2 linked regions of the Anolis sagrei genome follow. The protein of the gene in region 2 binds, or shares a complex with, the protein of the main gene of each other region. Links are inferred from orthologs where the notes say so. Each region holds a gene or a part of one and is shown on either strand. Other genes may lie near its edges. The genes, in order: KCNE3 and KCNQ1.

Region 1 (10,359 bases), on a different chromosome or scaffold from region 2:
AGGAGCAAAATTGCAATTATGAAGTAGGAATGAAAATAATGTGATGGTTGGGGGTCACCACAACTTAAGGAACTGTATTAAGGGTTGTGGCATTAGGAAGGTTGTGAACCACTGTCATTGAGTCTCATCCAATTCAACATAGTTTGCGGCACTGACAACGAAGTTCATGAAAGAGAACAACTCCTTTCAAAGTAAGTACGGCACAATTACACGGGAAATAACACTTTCAAAACAGGAACAATAATTATTTCAGAAGCAATTGGGAAAGAATGCCTGATGGAGAGGGTCCACACCCATTGCCCATGTGCTTGTGTTGAGTGTGCATTGCTCCACAAATGCAGGGAACAAAACCAACCTCTGTCCATGGCATTCATTGGCCTTGCAAAGGCATTCGACACAGCGAATCGCAGCGCTCTGTGGACCATCCTCCAAAAAATCGGGTGCCCAAGCAAATTTGTGAACATCCTCCATGATGACATGATGGCAACAGTCTTGGACAGCAATGGCTCTCAAAGTGACCCATTTAAGGTGGAATCGGGTGTCAAACAGGGATATGTTCTTGCCCCAACTCTATTCTCCACCTTCATCGCTATGATACTTCACCTTGCTGACGGGAAGCTTCCCACTGGAGTGAAAATCATGGCAAGCTATTCAACCTCAGCAGACTGAAAGCCAAAACCAAGGTTATAACAACATCTGTTATAGAATTCCAGTATGCTGATGACAATGTTGTCTGTGTGCATTCAGAAGAATATCTACAAGCCACTCTAAACACCTTCGCAGAAGCATACGAGAAGCTCGGCCTGTCACTGAACATCGAGAAAACCAAAGTGCTGTTCCAGCAGACACCAGGCAATCCCTCTCCAATGCCAAAAATACATCTTAATGGTGTAACATTAGAAAATGTTGACCATTTCCGCTACCTTGGCAGCCACCTCTCCACAAATGTCAACATCGACACCGAAATACAACACCGCCTGAGCTCTGTGAGTGCATCATTTTCCCGAATGAAGCAGAGAGTGTTTGAGGACTGGGACATCCGCAGGGAGACCAAGGTGCTTGTTTATAAAGCTATTGTCCTCCCAACCCTGCTCTATGCCTGTGAAACGTGGACTGTCTACAGACGTCAACATTGAAACTGAAATACACCACCACCTGAGCTCTGAGAGTGAAGCATTTTTCCAAATGAAGCAGAGAGTGTTTGAGGACCGGGACATCTGTAGGGATACCAAGGTTTATAAAGCTATTGTCCTCCCAACCCTGCTATATGCCTGCAAAACGTGGACTGTCTACAGACATCAAAACTGAGGCTGAAATACAACACCACCTGAGCTCTGCAAGCGCAGCATTTTTCTGAATGAAGCAGAGAGTGTTTGAGGACCGGGACATCTGTAGGGAAACCAAGGTGTATATAAAACTATTGTTCTCCCAACTCTACTGTATGCCTGTGAAACGTGGACTGTCTACAGATGCAACTCCTGGAACGATTCCGTCAGCACTGCCTCTGGAAAATCCTGCAAATCTCTTGGGAAGGCAGGCGGACAAACGTCAGCGTGCTGGAAGAATCAAAGACCACCAGCATTGAAGCGATGGTCTTCCGCCATCAACTCCGCTGGACCAGCCACGTTGTCCGGATGCCCGACCACCGTCTCCCAAAGCAGTTGCTCTACTCCGAACTCAAGAACGGAAAACGGAATGTTGGAGGATTGGAAAAGAGATTGAAAGGTGGGCTCAGAGCAAACCTTAAAATCTCTGGCATAGACACTGAGAACTGGGAAGCCCTGACCTGTGAGCACTCCAGTTGGAGGTCAGCTGTGACCAGCAGTGCTGCAGAATTTGAAGAGGCATGAATGGAGGGTGAATTAGAGAAGCGTGCCAAGAAGAAGGCACATCAAGTCGACCCCAACCGAGACCACCTTCCATCTGGAAACTGATGCCCTCACTGCGGGAGAAGATGCGGGTCAAGAATAGGACTCCACAGCCACCTACGGACTCACAAGAATTCTGATCTTGGAAGACTATCCTACTCAGCCAACGAGGGATTGCCTAACAACAACAAGCTGCATGAATGCACACGCAGCACAACAAGAAACAAAGACACACACAAAGCCCATCTGAGACTTGACTCACAGGACTTAGAATCAACAAACCGAGAGTTTGAAAACAATCCGTGCACAGATCCAGAGCGCAATTAAATCCAAAACAAACACTCCTAACCAATCCCATTAAAAGGCAGCGACTTATCATATTTTAAAATAATCTTTTAATGGGTTTACACATTCTTATCGCTTCCTCTTATTTGTGTTGGTTAGTTAACGGCCGTGCTGCGTGGATGAATGGGGCCCCTTGCACGTGGATCCGTGTGCACCTTTGCTTGTGAAAACTGTGTTGCACACTTGGCTCACGCTCGTGCCACAAAGCTGCTCGACACAAGGGTTGTGTGGCACGGTACTTGTGCAAAGATTTACAACCTGGACATTTTCACACTTCAGAGTTGTTGTGACTTTTCCGGGCTGTATGGCCATGTTCCAGAAGCATTATCTCCTGACGTTACACCCACATCTATGGCAGTCATCTTCAGAGGTTGTAAAGTCTGTTGGAAACTAGGCAAGTAGGGTTGGCTACTCTTGATCTCATCCTAACAAATGCGGAGGACCTGATCGATGCGGTTGAAGTGGTAGGATCCTTAGGGGCAAGTGACCATGTGCTCCTGCAATTTGAGGTACAAAGGAAGGCCGAAACTAAGACAAGTCAAACCCGCATTTTGGACTTTAGGAGAGCTGATTTCCAAAAAATGAAGGAAACGCTGAGCAGCACAGATACTAAAAGACAAGGGAGCTACGGATGGATGGGAATTTCTCAAGAGTGAAATACTAAAGGTGCATTTGCAAACTGTGCCAACAAAGAGAAAAAATAGGACAAGTGCAAAGAAGCCAGAATGGATGTCCAAAGAACTTCTAACTGTGCTAAAACACAAAAGAGACATGCACAAGAAGTGGAGAAAGGGAGAAATCACCAAAGAAGAATTCAAACAAAACACCTGTAGGGAAAAGGTCCGCAAGGCTAAAGCACAAAACGAGCTCAGGCTTGCGAGGGACATTAAAAACAATAAAAAGGGCTTCTTTTCGTATGTCAGTAGAAAAAGGAAAAACAAGGAGCCGATAGGACCTCTTCGAGGAGAAGATGGGGCAACGCTGACAGGGGATAGGGAAAAGGCAGAACTACTCAATGCCTTCTTTGCCTCGGTCTTCTCACAAAAAGAAAATCATCTTCAACCTCAGCAAGATGGAGTGGATGAGGGATTGGAGGACATCCAACCCCAAATTGGGAAAGAAGTCGTCCAGGAATACCTGGCCGCTCTCAATGAGTTCAAGTCCCCTTTCAGGGCCAGATCAACTACACCCCAGAGTACTGAGGGAACTAGCGGAAGTCATTTCGGAACCATTGGCAATTATCTTTGAGAGTTCTTGGATTTAAAAGGGACCCCCAGAGGCCATGCAGTCCAACCCAGTTCTGCCAGGCAGGAAGACACAATCGAATCCCTCCCGACAGATGTCCATCCAGCCTTTGCTTTAGAAACCTCAAGAAAAGGAGACTCTGACGCTCAATAATAGTGTCTTTTGCCATAAAGGAGCTCTCCAAGGTCTTATTAGGGAGCAAAGCTTCGAAACCTGGAAGAACAGCTTTAAAATTCGGACTAAAACCCAGACAGAATGCATTGAAATGAAATCACCAGCCTATATTGCAAATATGCTTTGCTGGGTGTCCTCTACACTATAGAAGTGGTGCAGTTTGATCCCGCTTTAACTGTTAAGGAATCCTGTAGGTTTCCATAACACAAGAGGCGTTGTGCTGATTCAGCAACCCGTGCCCGACTTTGGACGCATTTGGAGGCGCGGGCAAAGGATGGCTTTCCCAAGGAGCGCGTTCACACGTGCGCCCACACACGGGTCCTGAGACGCGTGTCAGGGGGCCCTCTTGGGCAGAGTCTCCCTCCCTCTCTGCTTACTCACCTCTCTCTTCCCCGGCGGAGCTTCTCCTTCGCAGCTGGCAGCGTCCTGCCCAAAGCCAACCCGCCTCTGGACCTCCTTCTCCTCCTTCCCTCCTTCTTTTCCTCCTTCCTTCTTTCCTTCCTTCCTTCCCTCCCTCTTTTCACGCCTTTTTCCTGCCGGACCCAGACCCAGAAGGGAAGGGAAGAGTACCTATGAGTCACCCCCAACCCTTAAGGAACTCCTTTCCCTGGCAAAGGAGCTTCTTTCGGGGGCTCTACTTTGCAGGAAAAACTTTGGAAAACTTTTTTTGGGGAGGGAATGAGCAGGACCCCTACCTCTTCAAGCCCCATAAATTCCCTCAGGAAGAGTAACTTCCTCATATTCTGCACTCTTCTCTGCTTTATTTGGGAAACTTTTTTGGGGGGTGGGGGGTGGGGGGGTGGGAATGAGCAGGACTCCTACCTTTTCAAGCCCCATAAATTCCCTCAGGAATAGTAACTTCCTCATATTCTGCACTCTTCTCTGCTTTATTCCTGGAACAACTTGCTCATTTGGAGACAGATAGAAATACAGATATGCATTTTGTGATTTTATATTGTTGTGAGCCCTTCCCAGTCCCTGCAGGGAGAGGGAGAGGAATATAAATAAAGCTATTCCTATTATTATTATTATTATTATTATCATTAATAATAATAATAATAGAGATAGATAGATATGAGATGCACACACACACAGGAGATAGATATGAGAGAAAAATATATATGAGATAGACAGATAGATATGACAGAAATATATATATATATTTATGAGATAGATAGATATGATATACATATATATATATATATATATATGAGATAGATAGATAGGAGAGAAATATATATATCTATATGAGATAGAGAGATAGATATGAGATATATATATATATATATATGAGATAGATAGATAGATAGATAGATAGATAGGAGAGAAATATATATGAGATAGACAGATAGATATGACAGAAATATATATATATTTATGAGATAGATATGATATATACATACATATATATATATATATATATGAGATAGATGGATAGATATGAGATATATATATATATATATATATATATGAGATAGATAGATAGATAGAAGAGAAATATATATGAGATAGACAGATAGATATGACAGAAATATATATATTTATGAGATAGATATGATATATACATACATATATATATATATATATATATGAGATAGATGGATAGATATGATATATATATATATATGAGATAGATATGACACACACACACACACATATATATATATATGAGATAGATAGATAGATAGATAGAAGAGAAATATATATGAGATAGACAGATAGATATGACAGAAATATATATATTTATGAGATAGATATGATATATACATACATACATATATATATATATATATATATATGAGATAGATGGATAGATATGATATATATATATATATGAGATAGATATGACACACACACACACACATATATATATATATGAGATAGATAGATAGATAGAAGAGAAATATATATGAGATAGACAGATAGATATGACAGAAATATATATATTTATGAGATAGATATGATATATACATATACATATATATATATATATATATATATGAGATAGATGGATAGATATGATATATATATATATATGAGATAGATATGACACACACACACACACACACATATATATGAGATAGATAGATAGATAGATAGAAGAGAAATATATATGAGATAGACAGATAGATAGGGCCTGAAAACCTGGCTCTTCGAAAAGGCCTTCAATTAAGTGCTATGTTTTGGAATGACCACCGGAATGGACTAGGACTACGAGACTGATTATGACCCAAACAAGACAAAGCGGATTTTTAGTTTAATTAGCTGTGTGTTAGTAAGATGTGTGTTATGGCCCTGAATTTACTGTAACTGTTGTCTTTATGTTCTATGTTCTGTACACCGCCACGAGTCGCCTTCGGGCTGAGAGTGGCGGTTAACAAGTGCAAATAATAAATAAATAAATAATAATAGATATGACAGAAATATATATATTTATGAGATAGATATGATATATACATATATATATATATATATATATATATGAGATAGATGGATAGATATGATATATATATATATATGAGATAGATATGACACACACACACACACACATATATATATGAGATAGATAGATAGAAGAGAAATATATATGAGATAGACAGATAGATATGACAGAAATATATATATTTATGAGATATATATATATATATATATATGAGAGATAGATCAATAGATATTATCTCTCTCTCTCTCTCTCTCTCTCTCTCTCTATATATATATATATATATATATATATTAGATAGAGAGATAGATAGATAGATAGATAGATAGATAGATAGGAGATATATATATATATATATATGTATTAGATAGATGCCAGTAAAGGTAATGCTCAAGATCCTGCAAGGAAGACTCCAGCAATACATGGAGCGAGAGCTGCCAGATGTTCAAGCTGGGTTTAGAAAAGGCAGAGGAACCAGAGACCAGATTGCCAATATCCGCTGGATAATGGAGAAAGGCAGGGAGTTTCAGAAAAACATCTACTTCTGCTTCATTGACTATTCTAAAGCCTTTGACTGTGTGGATCATATTAAATTGTGGCAAGTTCTTAGTGAGATGGGCATCCCAAGCCCCCTTCCCTCTCTCCTGAGGAATCTGTACAAGGACCAAGGAGCAACAGTCAGAACTGACCACGGAACAGGAGACTGGTTCAAGATTGGGAAAGGCATCCGGCAAGGCTGCATCCTCTCACCCAACCTTTTTAACTTGTATGCAGAACACATCATGCGATGTGCGGGGCTGGATGAATGCAAAGCTGGGGTGGAAATGGCTGGAAGAAACATTCACAACCTCAGATATGCAGATGACACCACTCTGATGGCCGAAAGCGAGGAGGAGCTGAGGAGCCTTCTAATCAAGGTGAAAGAAGAAAGCGCAAAAGCCGGGTTGCAGCTAAACGTCAAAAAACCCAAGATTATGGCAACAAGAATGATTGACAACTGGGAAATAGAGGGAGAAAATGTGGAGGCTGTGACAGACTTTGTATTTCTAGGTGCAAAGATGAGTGCAGATGCAGACTGTGGCCAGGAAATCAGAAGACGGTTCCTTCTTGGGAGGAGAGCAATGTCCAGTCTTGATGAAATAGTGAAGAGTAGAGACATCAGACTGGCAACCAAGATCCATTGCCTAGTCAAAGCCATGGCATTCCCTGTAGTCACCTACGGATGTGAGAGCTGGACCTTAGGGAAGGCTGAGCGAAGGAAGATCGATGCTTTTGAGCTGTGGTGTTGGAGGAAAGTGCTGAGAGTGCCTTGGACTGCGAGAAGATCCAACCAGTCCATCCTCCAGGAAATAAAGCCCAAATGCTCACTGGAGGGAAGGAGACGAGAGACAAAGTGGAAGTCCTTTGGCCACATCATGAGGAGACAGCAAAGCCTGGAGAAGGGAATGATGCTGGGGAAAGCGGAAGGCAAAAGGAAGAGGGGCCGACCAAGGGCAAGATGGATGGATGGCATCCTTGAAGTGACTGGACTGACCTTGAGGGAGCTGGGGGTGGTAACGGCCGACAGGGAGCTCTGGCGTAGGCTGGTCCATGAGGTCACGAAGAGTCGGAGACGACTGAACGAATGAACAACAACAACATTAGATAGATAGGAGAGAACTATATTTATGACATAGATAGATTATATATATATATATATATATATATATATATATATATATATATATATATGAGATAGATAGATGGATAGATGAAAGCTAGCTAGCTAGAGGAGAAATATATATATGTATGAAATAGATAGATATGAGAGAAATATATATATCTTGCCCTGGTGACTGGATGGCCTTAAGAATTTTCTGTTGGTCATGGGGGTTCTGTGTGGGAAGTTTGGCCAATTCTGTTGTTCGTGGAGTTCAGAACGCTCTTTGATTGTAGGTGAACTATCAATCCCAGTAACTACAACTCCCAAATGTCAAGGTCTATTTTCTCCAAACTCCATCTGTGTTCATATTTGGGCATATGGAATATTCATGCCAAGTTTGGTCCTGATCCATCATTGTCTGAGTCCACAGTGCCCTCTGGATGTAGGTGAACTACAACTCCCAAACTCAAGTTCAATGCTCACCAAACCCTTCACGTGTTTTCTGTTGGTAGTGGGAGTCCTGTGTGCCATGTTTGGTTCCATTCCATTGTTGGTGGAGTTCAGAATATTCTTTGATTGCAGGTGAACTATAAATCCCAGATACTACAACTCACAAATGACAAAATCAGGGTTTTTTTTGAGTGATGGTTACTCCTTGGGTTAGTAGGTGTCTTGTGTCCAAATTTGGTGGCAATTCGTCCAGTGGTTTTTGAGTTATATTAATAACTCAAAAATAATATGTATAATAATAATATAATTCCATAATTTATGATTCTGAGGAAAAGGAGGGAAAAGGGGACTTTGGTGTACCAGCCACTCCTGTTCTGGAGGTCGAAATCTTCCACCGCTCCCTCAACTTATACAAAATGTTCCAGTCCAGGACATGTATATTCATTTAACACATGCCCTGCTATTTGCCATGTTCCCTGTGCAGAACCCATAAATCCAGGCGATTCCAAGAGATTCCCTGTCATTTAGGAGGAACCAGAAAGCAAAAAAGGCAGGCTCTTCCAATGTAAATCATTATCCAGTGTAAATCAAAGCTAATTTATTTGTTTATCATGTCAGGAGTGAACCAAACAGTTGTATTGTATTTTTTTAAAACACACACACACAAAGTTTGCAAACTTGGCATTCTCTTAAATGTCTTTTGACCAGTAGTCATCCACTTGGAGTGCCTCTGGTGTTGCTGCAAGAAGGTCCTCCATGGTGCATCATGTGGCAGGGCTCAGGGTGCATTGCAGCAAGTGGTCAGTGGTTTGCTCTTCTCCACACTCGCATGTCGTGGATTCCACTTTGTGACCCCATTTCTTAAATCTCGTGGTGCCAGAGCACAGTCTGTTCAGTTCCTTCCAAGTCCTCCTTTTCCCTTTCTTTCTTTCTTTCTTTCTTTCTTTCTTTCTTTCTTATTTAATTTAAATTTATTATTTAAAACTTTTATATCCCAATCTTCTCTACCTCCGTAGAGGGACTCAAACTGGCTTTCTTTCTTTCTTTCCTTCCAGACGTCCTTCCTTTTCTCCCCTTCTTTTCCCTTTCTTTCCTTCCTTTCTTTTCTGACCTCCTTTTCTCTTTCCGTCCATCCTTCCTATTCTGCCTTTCTTTCTATCTTTCCTTCCTTCCCGTCATCCTTCCTTTTCTCCTCTTCTTTTCCCTTTCTTTCTTTCCTTCCTCTTTTCTGACCTCCTGTTCCCTTTCTTTCCTTCTATTCTTCCTTTTCTGCTCTTTTCCCTTTCTTTTTTTCTTCATTTTCTGCCCTTCTTTTCCCTTTCATTTACTTTTCTGCCCTTCTTTTTCCTTTTCTCCTTCTTTTCCTTTTCTTTCTTTCCTTCTAGACGTGCCTCCTTCTCTCCCCTGCTTTTCCCTTTCTTTCTTTCCTTCCTTTCTTTTCTGACCTCCTTTTCCCTCTTTCTTTCCTTCCTTTCTTTTCTGACCTCCTTTTCCCTCTTTCTTTCCTTCCTTCCTTCCTTCCATCCTTCCTTCCTTTCCTTCCTTCCTGCCATCCTTCCTTTTCTCCCCTTATTTTCCCTTTCTTTCTTTCCTTTCTTTTCTGTTATCCTTTTCCCTTTCCTTCCTTTCATCCTACCTTTGCTACCCTTCTTTTCCCTTTCTTTCTTTCCTTCCTTCCCGCCGTACTTCCTTTTCTCCCCTTCTTTTCCCTTTCTTTCTTTCCTTTCTTTTCTGTTATCCTTTTCCCTTTCCTTCCTTTCATCCTACCTTTGCTGCCCTTCTTTTCCCTTTCTTTCTTTCCTTTCTTTTCTGTTATCCTTTTCCCTTTCCTTCCTTTCATCCTACCTTTGCTGCCCTTCTTTTCCCTTTCTTTCTTTCCTTCCTTCCCGCCGTACTTCCTTTTCTCCCATTCTTTTCCCTTCCTTTCTTTTCTAACCTCGTGTTCCCTTTCTTTCCTTCTATTTTTCCTTTTATTTTCATTTTCTGCCCTTCTTTTCCCTTTCATTTAATTCCTTTTCTGTCCTTTTTCCTTTTCTCTCCTTCTTCAAAAAATACAGCAAAGCCCTTCTTTCTGTATGTACAATTGTTAACTATTGTCTCGTACAACCACACTGTTCATTTCCTACATGGGGACTATGGACTTGTTTTGTGTTTTAAAACTGTAATCAGAATCCTTTCCCTGCCAGAAAACAGCA
Region 2 (10,343 bases):
TAGAGTAAGGGCCTATCTACATGGACTAAATGAGGTAGGCCATGGGTGAATAGACTTTGTGCAATCCACGTGATGCACAAAGTTGACTAAACCCTCACACCTGGCAAGATCATCTAATGCATCCTTGCCCCATGTTACTCAAAGTCTGGGGATGTCCCAAAGCTCACCCACATTTTGGGCATGTGTAAAGAGTTAGGTAGGTTTCACTTCGGAACAGATTGCAATTGTTTACACAGCTATCCTGCTCTTCACAAGCTTGGCAGCCTGGGGAGAGTCCTTCCACAGCATGCAGAGTCCTTCCTGCCACTGGGATGGCTCTGTGCTATGGACACTTTTCTGCTGCTGAACCAGCTCAAAGGCTAGCTGTGAAGAATCCCCTCAAGTTGATCTAGGGTACCTGACTCCAGATCTGCTCTGGCACATGGGGGCCGTGGAAATGTGTCCTGAGAGGGTTTTGGATTTAACACAGCTTCAGTTGGTCTATTATCCACTTAGCTACTTCTCAGCTATTTTGACATGAAAGAGAATTGTGAGCTTATCAGTGTCAATGAAAATTACTTCCAAGTAATGCTGCTTTTTGGAAATAATCCTAAGCATGCACCACAGAAGTTAATATCTCATCAGTTTAAGTAGAAGTTACACTGATGTAAATGTGATTGGGTCTGTGATCTTAAGCTACCATAACCATAAAATATAGTCTTATTCTGATTGAGTAGAACAGCATTCAGTTTTCTTTTGACTTGCCTGAAATGAATTGCTATCAAAAGAGCAAGATATCAATCCATATGATTATATTAAACATCATAGTGTACCAATTCTTTTAAAAGAATTGATCTCTCAGCGCCTGATGGTTCAGGCCTAGGACCTAACTTCCAACTGCATGCAAACACAAACTAACAAAAGCTTCGTGTTTCTTCTTGGTCACTTTGTTGCTCCTGATTGCATTTCATCCCTTCCCTCCCTGTGTATTGTATATGGTGAAAGGCAAACACATATTTGGAAATTTGCAGAATGGGAGATTGAGAATTAAGAAGTGATGAGTGAGAAATGAACCAAGCACAATTTTTTTCACTCCAAATCCCCTCCTACTCTGCAAGGTTTCAAACATGTTTTGCCTCTCCAAATAACGTGATAGGCTAATGGCGGGAAAGTGGTGGAAGAAGGGGTTTCCCCTCCTGCCTCTCTTCCTCTCAAAACCTCCCTCCCTGTTTGGGACCTAGAACAAGGCTGGCTGTACACTGTATAATTAATGCAGTTTGACACTGCTTTAACCACCATGGCTCAATGCTTCGGAATTCTGAGATTTGTAGCTTGGTGAGGAGCTGTCACTTTTGGGCAGAAAAGGCTTGTAAATCTACAGCCCCCAGGATTCCATAGCATTGAGCCATGGCAGTTAAACTGGTGTCTATCTGCATTAATTATGCACTGTTGATGCACCCCCAAACAGCAACCAAGTGTTTGCTACATGGGCTTATGTGCAGTAGTGCAGGTAACCCCTGGCTCTGAACAATCAACCAACTGATGCAGATAAATGGCTGCTTTAAAGTACTCTCTTATGAGCAACAATTTATGGACTCTGCTGCTCCAGCCAGCATAAAAAGTTCTTGGCACACAATGTATTGCTTCCCTAATCACATTACGAATGAATGGAACACACACAAAGAAGTATGTGCGCAACTCATCAAATAGATCCAGACCTTAAGAATGTTACTTTTTTGGATTGCAACTTCCCCCCAAAAGTCTTCTGGGAGTTGCAGTAAAAAAAAAAAAAAAGCTTTTCCAAGACCTTCAGCACTGAGCAATCCACAGCGGAACTTTCCATTGGGCATAACAGGTACATGGTTCAAGGGGGCCTGTCTGGAAACACACCTAGAGCTGCTACCCAACAGAGCTGTTCCTCCACCCAAGGTCTTATACTGATGGGATTACTAAAAACGCATATTCTGTAAGACAGGCATCACAAGCTAAAAAGGGGAAAACAGACTTCTGTGTGACAAACACATCTGAGGATCTTACAATGAATTGTTACATACGTCGCCTGCAGTATATTTTAAGTATGTTTTAATTTGTTTATTGTATGTTTTATTGTTGATATTGTGTGTTTCATATGTTGTAAACCACTTTGGTTTGGTGCAGCATGTTAAACTGCTGATCTGATTACCTTGCTGATCAAAAGGTCAGCGATTCGAATTCAGGGAGCATGGTGAGCTTCCACTGTTAAGCCCAGCTTCTGCCGACCTAGCAGTTTGAAAACATGCAAACGTGAGTAGATCAATAGGCACCACTCTGGCGAGAAGGTAATGGCACTTCTTGCAGTCATGCTGGCCACATGACCTAGGAGATGCCTACGGACAATGCTGCCTCTTCAACTTAGAAATGGAGATGAGCATTACCCCCCAGAGCTGGACACAACTAGACTTAATGTCAAGGGGAAACCTTTATCTTTTTAACCGCTTTGGGTCCAGCCGCAGAGAAAGGCAGAGGGAGAAATATCTTAAACAAACAAATAAATGCTACAAACTCTTTCCTAGAAGTTTAGTGAACCCTTGGTATCTACTGGGGTTTGGTTCCATGGATAACAAAATCTGTGGATGCTCAAGTCCCATTATGTACAATGGCACAGTAAGAGGGTGTCCCTGCACAAAATGGCAAAATCAACATTTGCTTTTGGGAATTTTAAAGAAATGTATGGTTTAATCTGTGAATGCAGAATCTGTGGATGCGGAGGGCTGGCTGCATCCTCCACTGAACCTAACGGAAATGACTCCCAAGTATGAGCATGCCTATTGCAGTTATCCGTTTGCTTGTTAATTTGGTGGCATTACCTATACCCCAGTAGTGCAGTAGGTTAAACCACTGAGCTGCTGAACTTGCTGACTGAAAGGTTGGTAGTTTGAATCTGGGGAGCGGAGTGAGCTCCTATTTTTAGCCCCAGCTCCTGCCAACCTACATTTCAAAAACATGCAAATGTGAGTAGATCAATAGCAATCACTCTGGTAGGAAAGTAATGGTATTCCATGCAGTCATGTTGGCCACATAACCTTGGAGGTGTCTACGGACAATGCTGGCTCTTCAGCTTAGAAATGGAGATGAGCACCACCCCCCAGATTAAGACACAACTGGACTTAAATGTCAGGAGGAAACTTTTACCTTTACCTATACCCTATCTTATAGGGACTCAGGGAGACTTAGGGTTTAAACCAAGCAAACTCTAGCGACGCCTGGGGTGCATATAGACTGTACCACGAAGGAAGTTCAAAACCACTTTAAATGCCATGGCCCAGTGCTATGGAAACCTGGGTGTTGCAAGTTGAGAAGGCTCTGGCGCTTTTTGGTGGAGAAGACTCCAGAACAAGCATGGGAAAACTTTGGTCCTCCAGGTGTTTTGGACTTCACCTCCCAGAAATCCCAGCCAGCTTACCAGCTGTTAGGAATTGTGGGAGTTGAAGCCTAAAACACCAGGAGGGCCGAAGTTTGCCCGTGCCTGCTCCAGACCTTGTAAAATGATTCCACAGCATTGGGTTCCTGGCAGTCCAAGTCCTGTCAAACTGCATTTATCCTCTCTGTCTTTGTGTGTGTCTCTCTCTAGTAATTTTATTGAAGGGGAGGGAGTGGTGATAGTAGAATAAATCAAGGGTGTCAAAGGTCTTTTCACCAAAGGCCACAACTGCCTTACGGTTGCCTTCAAAGGGTTGCTTGCAACTGCAAGACTGTACACATGGAACTATGTTGACCTCTTCTTGGAAGCCTCGTGGACCAAATACCAATGATGCTCGGTCCTTGGCCTTGCGTTGGATGCGCGTGGCACAACAAAGTACCAAGTTAGACGTGTTTTAGAAGTGCACCAAAGCAGCAACTTTGAGCTGTCATGCGATGGAGAGAAGGTGTGCGAGGTTGCGCAGGACAACCCGAAGAGCCGAGGCGGGTTGCTTCGTGTGGGGAAGGGAGGAGGAGGAGGAGGAGGAAGAGCCGCCTGCTTGCCGGGGCCGGGCTCGTGGGAAGCGGACTGCAGCCCCCAGCATCCCGGGCAGGATGCAAAGCGCCCTGGGTGGGAGGGAGCCCACTCCTGCGAGAGATGGTGCCCGCTGCCTTTCCTTCCCCTCCCCTCCTCTCGTCCTACTCTAACTCCGAAGGGCTCCCCTCCCCCTTTCCCCTTCCCCCCCCCCCCCCCCCCGCTGACTCACACGGTGAAGTGGTAGACGAAGCACTTCCACCCGGTGGGTCTCTCGAGGAAGTTGTAGACCCGTCCTTGGATGTGGCTGCGGCTGAGGAGCGGGCGCCGGGCGCTGTAGATGGAGACGCGCGGGTCCAGGTTGACCGAGGGGCGCGGGAAGTCGGCGCTCATCACCACCCGCGCCGCCACCGCCTCCTCTTCGCCTGATCCTCCTCCTCCTCCTCCTCCGCCTGGCGGGCTGCGCGGGGCCGGGGGGCCGGGCGCCGAGAGCGAGAAAGGCGCGTAGCGGGCGTCGGGGGCGTTCTCGGCCAGCTCCAGCGCCGAGGGCTTGAGGCTGCCTTTCTTGGAGAGGACCGAGAAGCGCTCCAGGGTCCAGCGGCGCCGCTCCGCCTTCGCGGGGGAAGGGGAAGGAGAAGGCGAAGGCGGCGGGGAAGCAGGCATCGCGGCCAGGCCAGGCGGGGGCAGCGCTGCTCTCCTTCGCTCTGGCCTTTCTCGCCGCCTGCCTGCCCGTCCGCCCGCCCGAGAGCCCTTCTTGGCCCGGCCCACTCAAGGGGAGGGAGGGAGGGAGGGAGGGAGGCTCCCCGGGGAAGGAAGGGCCCCGCTCTCCGCCCCGATGCCTCCTGCCCGTCGCCACCCAAGGAGCCCCGGCGCGGACTGCCGAGGAAGGAGACCGGCCCTCCTTTTCTTTTCTTTTCTTTTCTTTTCTTTTCTTTCTCCTCTCCCTTCCCTTCCCCTCCTTTCCTTCCTTCCTTCCTTCCTTTCTCCTTCCTTCTTTCTTTCTTTCTCTCTTCCTCCCTCCCTCCCTCTTTCCTTTTTCCTCCCCCCTCTCTTCTTCCTCCCTCCTTCCCTCTTCCTTCCTTCCTTCTTTCCTTTCTTTCTTTCTTTCTTTCCTTCCTTCTCCCTCCCTCCCTCTTTCCTTCCTTCCTTCCTTCTTTCTCCCTCCCTCCCTCTTTCTTTCTTTCTTTCTTTCTTTCCTTTGTTCCTCCTTTACTTCTCCCTCACTCCTTCCTTCCTTCCTTCTTTCTTTCTCTCTCTCTCTCTCCCTCTTTCTTTCTTTCTTTCTTTCTTTCTTTCCTTTCTTCCTCCTTTCCTTCTTCCTCCCTCCCTCCCTCTTTCTTTCTTTCTTTCCTTTCTTTCCTTTCTTTCTCCTTTCCTTCTTCCTCCCTCCCTCCCTCTTTCTTTCTTTCTTTCTTTCTTTCCTTTCTTTCCTTTCTTTCCTTTCTTTCCTTTCTTCCTCCTTTCCTTCTCCCTCCCTCCCTCCCTCCTTCCTTCCTTCTTTCCCTGACAAGGCTCTGGTGCTTGGCACAACCGGGCAGCAAGTTCACAGACAGCAGGTGCTCTGAAGGCTGCTGTGGCCTTCTTGGTGTTATTGCGACTCTCCCTTGCTGCCCCCGGACCCTGGCAGGCTACTGGAGCACAGGCCACCTATTTCAATGCAGCCTGAGCCCTGCCACATGCACAACGGAGGACCTTCTTATAGGAATACCAGAGGCACTCCAAGGGGCCCACTATTGGTCAAAGGACATTTAGTATCATGACAAGTTTTTAACCTTTGTGTTTTTTAAATACATTACCTCTGTAATCTTGGTTCTCTCCTGATAGGATAAATGAATTGGAAGTCCTCAATAGTGACCATGAATTCATTTCTGCTGACACAACTGACATTGAAACATCATATTTGAAAAACTTTTGTATAAATGCAACAATTCCAAATACTATATATCTTATACCAGTAGTTCCCAACCTGTGGTCCGTGGACCACCAAGAACGAAAATATGGTCTCTGGCTTCACCATTACTACACCGTTGCCTCAAAACCCTGCAGCAACAAGAGCAACTGGTCTTGCGAAACCCTCTTATAATGTCAAGGCAATGGGAATTTGGGAGGGGAGAGGCTGACTGCCCACAAAAGATTACTACTACCACATCAGCTCTAGATTATTCACTATGGTTTTCTGTGGGCGAGCAGATGGTGACTACTGGATGGCCTATGTTCTGTATCAGAAACTAGAGCTCATGTAGCCTATCCAATGCAGTTTTCTGAATCAGCACCCCAAATAACCAAACCAAATCTAAAATTGACCAAAGATTGATTCGTAACCCTGTTGATACTAATGTTGCAGAGTCGTCCCTGGTCAATGGTCCCTTGTCAAAAAAAAAGTTGTGAACTTATACCATATTTACTCAAGTCTAATGCACCATCAGATCTAATGCACACTTCCATTTTCAAAACCCTGAAATAAAAAAAGGGGGGGGGGGGATTATTTGCTGCCAAAGGTCATGTGCAGCAGCAAAAAGTGCTCTCTTTGTCATTTGCCCCTTACAGTTGGTGCCTACTTAGAATTCTCCTTTAGAACACCAAAACTTCCAGCAATGGAAAGGAAACCTTGGGATGCTACATTCTCTGCTGCAGGATGAATGCACTTTAATTATCTTGGTTCAATGCCATGGAGTCATGGGGTGGGCGTGAAGTTTTTCAAGTCTTGAGCCTTCTCTGCCAAAGAATGCAGGTGCCTCGCCAAACTACAAATCCCAGGATGGCAAAACATTGAGTCTGAGTCTGGCCATTAAATTTGAGATATAAATTTCAAATAGTGAAGCAGCTTCCCCTTTGGCTTTGGCTCAGCATAGAATCATAGAATCAAAGAGTTGGAAGAGACCTCATGGGCCATCCAGTCCAACCCCCTGCCAAGAAGCAGGAATAGCACTAAGATTACAGTATGATGCGAATCTCATGCACACCCTAACTTTGACAAGGTCATTTAGACAAAAAAGGTGAGCATTAGATTTGAGTAAATAGGGTGTATAGTACTACACGATTTGTGGTCCAATATGTAAGAGAAATATATATATTATTTCTGTTTCCATTATTTAGCCATCATTTTCTGGTGTATATAAGATCTCTTTTAAAGTACACCAGGCCCTTGGTGCCCCCCCTCCCCCGAGGCACAGCATGTTAAACCGCTGAGCCACTGAACTTGCTGACAAAAAGGTTGGTGGTTCAAATCCGGGGAGCAGGGTGAGCTCCTGCTGTTAGGCCCAGCTTCTGCCAACCTAGCAGTTCAAAAACATGCAAATGTGAGTAGATCAATAGGTACCTCTCCGGTGAGAAGGTAATAGTGCTCCATGCTGTCATGCTGGCCACATGACCTTGGAGGTGTCTATGGACAACGCTGGCTCTTTGGCTTAGAAATAGAGATGAGCACCACCCCCCAGAGTCAGACATGACTAGACTTAATGTCAGGGGAAACATTTACCATTACCTTTTAGGCCCTTGGTATGTCTGATCACCATCTCCCAAAGCAATTACGTTATTCTCAACTTAAGAATGGAAAACAGAATGTTGGTGGACAGCAAAAGAGATGTAAAGATCAGCTTAAAGCTAAACTAAATGTGGTATAAACACAGAGAATTGGGAAACCCTGGCCCTCAATACAGGACAAAAAGAAGAGAAGTGTCAAGCAAATCCTTCTCATGATCACCTTCTATCTGAACATCTGTGTCCTCATTGTGAAATACCACGTGGATCCAGAATAGGTCTTCACAGTCACTGTCAAGGCTCTCTCTCTGGAAGACAATCATACTCAGCCACAACACATTGCACATTATGACATGATTTGAAGTATGATAATATATACTAGAAAAGTGTATATTATTTCCATTATTTAGTTACCATTTAAAGTAGAGGGGGCCTTGGTACCTGTTGGAGTTTGGTTCCAGCCTCCATCTCCCCACCTGCTGAACATACACCTGGATAACAAAATCAGTGAATATTAAGGTCCCATTATATACACTTATATAAAATGGCAAAATCAAGGGTTGCTTTCTGGAAATTCATTTTAATACTTTCAATCCATAAATACAGTAGTTCCATGGTTTGGAATGGTCGTCATGCCAGGAAAGGTTACTTAGTTAAGTAAACTTTATTGAGGAGCTGATACAAGATTGCAGTCAAAGTAGCTGTATCTATGTATGATTGAGGAGAAATAAAACTTGCATTATTATTGATATAACCAAAAAAACTGAAACAATTCAGTTTTAAATTTTACTTGGTAACTGCTTTGGGAAACAGGCATTTAGACAACATGGCTGCTCCAGTGAAATTGATGGTGGAGAAGGAACTGTTACAGATGAGTAAATCTAGATAACTGTTTCGTATTTACAATCACTCTTTAGTCATGACTGTGACACTATTGATCAGGGATTGTTTAAAAACTGTGCAGAACAGACAAATTGAATGTGTCTCTCCCCCAAACACACACTCCAACTTATTTTACCTGACATCAGCTGCATAGGAAGAAGAAGACCCATTCTGCATGGGTGAATATGGTTTGGAATGGTGGTCATGCCAGGAAAGGTTAGTTAAGTAAACTTTATTAAGTAGCTGATACAAGATTGTAGTCACAGTAATTATCTTTGGTGGTGTAATCATTTCGTTTTCTCCTTAGTCATAGCCTTTCCCAACCTGCACCCTCCAGGGGGACAGGTATCCATCATCCCCATCCAGCACAACCAAGAACTATGCTGGTTGAGACAAAAGGAATTGTAATCTCATTGTTTTTTTCCTGTCTGAAAAAATAATATTCAATTTGTCTGTTCTGCACAGTTTAAACAATCCCTGGTCAAATCACATTTAATATCCTATATACTCATGTGTAAGTCTAAAAATATGAGTCAAAAATCAACTCTAAAAAACTAGTCCAGATATCCATGGGTCAATGTGACTGTATCTTAACTGATAAAAAAGGAACCATCCTCTTCTCTGAGTAGTAATAAAAGGCAAGAGCGTAGTCCATCTTGAGAGAACCTAAAAGGAGCATCAGCTTTCTTTGCTATGGCACTGTTTCTGGCTTCTCTGAAGGTCTGGGCAGAGAAATTGTGGTTTTGGTGGTTTAAGAAGTTTGATCTCCCAAGGCAGCATTAGTGCTTTCCCCTCTTCTTGGAATAACCCTCTACTTATCCACAAGTCATATCAAAATCCACACTTTTGGCTCCAAAACCTGCCTTCAGGTTACACATAAAGCCAGCTTATATATAAGTATATACAATTCTTGTTATATAGGTAACTTTTGATATATATAATCACAGCTTCATGTTAATAGGACCAAGTTGGAGCAATCATCCTGAGAGAGAACTGGCATGATCTGGGGAAAAGAGTAAAAGAAAGAGAGAAGCAAAGAAACCAGCGAGGAACCAAGAAGCATCTTTCTACTGTGAAGGGAACTTATCATTTTTACCAGTGAGATACCAAATTTCCCCTCATGCCTTGGGCTTAAGAAATATCATACCAGATATTAACTTCCTATAGTCTTTAACCTGAAACCAGTGTTCTTACTCATTGGTGGTTGCAGGTAAGCACTACTTATCCACTTGCTGAACTACTCATAAGTAATCTGTGTCAAAAGTAGATTGGCACAACCTACATGCTAGTTACTAATCTTGTAAGTATTATTCAACTTGGGAGGTTGAAACACTTGCAAGCAGTGGCTGTGCCACTGATTATAACACCTACCTTTTCTATCTGAGGATGCTTTCTTCTGAAAATCTAAGACAAATGCAGCCGTTTTATAAAAGGCAAAGAAGTATCCAGGGTGATGCTGAAGGCTTTCATGGCCAGAATGACTAGGGCCATACAGCCCGGAAAACTCACAGCGACCTATTATCCAGGGTGTTCTATAAAACCTATCCTTCCACATGTACATCAAACTGCAAATAATTCAGGCATGTTTAAACAATGCAATCCTATAGATGTCAATTCACTATATCCTATTCAATTTACGAGAGCTTACTTCCAGGAAAGTGAGTATAGAATGAAACTCTTTTACACAAAACCAGACAGTTTCTGGTTTAAATGTAACATTAGAACTTTCAAATTTAAGTAGCCCTACAAACAATACGAATCAAATTTTGCAAGTACCTCTAAAAGAAGGATGAAAATGCTTTATATAGATTATCTACCTATCTTGGAAGACATCCTCTCTGAATCCCAGAATGGTTTTTGTCCATCCAGAGGAAGAGTGGATATGATAATCACTGCACAACAACTTCAAGAAAAATGCAGGGAGAAAATCAACCTCTGTACATGGCAATCAACATAGTGAGTTGCAATGCTCTCTAGACCAGTCTTTCAAAAATTGGATGCCCTGATAAATTTGTGAACATCCTGTGCC

Evidence for each region.
Region 1: the proteins of KCNQ1 (region 2) and KCNE3 are in contact, whole or in part, in a cryo-EM structure (PDB 6V01), measured with the Homo sapiens proteins. The link is inferred for Anolis sagrei from reciprocal best matches to the Homo sapiens genes KCNQ1 and KCNE3. Residues at the interface, in NP_000209.2 of Homo sapiens: Arg116, Pro117, Thr118, Gly119, Trp120, Cys122, Phe123, His126, Phe127, Phe130, Leu134, Leu137, Ile138, Val141, Leu142, Ile145, Gln147, Tyr148, Arg181, Met238, Val241, Asp242, Gln244, Thr247, Lys362, Asn365, Ile368; in NP_005463.1 of Homo sapiens: Asp54, Asp55, Asn56, Ser57, Tyr58, Ile61, Met65, Phe68, Ala69, Val72, Gly73, Leu75, Ile76, Leu77, Tyr79, Thr80, Arg81, Ser82, Arg83, Val85, Lys87, Asp90.

The regions. Positions count from the first base shown.
Region 1 is NC_090023.1:5,044,705-5,055,063, forward strand, and holds the start of KCNE3 (potassium voltage-gated channel subfamily E member 3), read right to left. Parts: upstream 4,079-10,359; 5' UTR 4,014-4,078; intron 1-4,013. UniProt on the Homo sapiens protein: Ancillary protein that functions as a regulatory subunit of the voltage-gated potassium (Kv) channel complex composed of pore-forming and potassium-conducting alpha subunits and of regulatory beta subunits.
Region 2 is NC_090021.1:245,560,625-245,570,967, reverse strand, and holds the start of KCNQ1 (potassium voltage-gated channel subfamily KQT member 1), read right to left. Parts: upstream 4,671-10,343; 5' UTR 4,616-4,670; coding exon 4,185-4,615; intron 1-4,184. UniProt on the Homo sapiens protein: Pore-forming subunit of the voltage-gated potassium (Kv) channel involved in the regulation of cardiomyocyte excitability and important in normal development and functions of myocardium, inner ear, stomach and colon.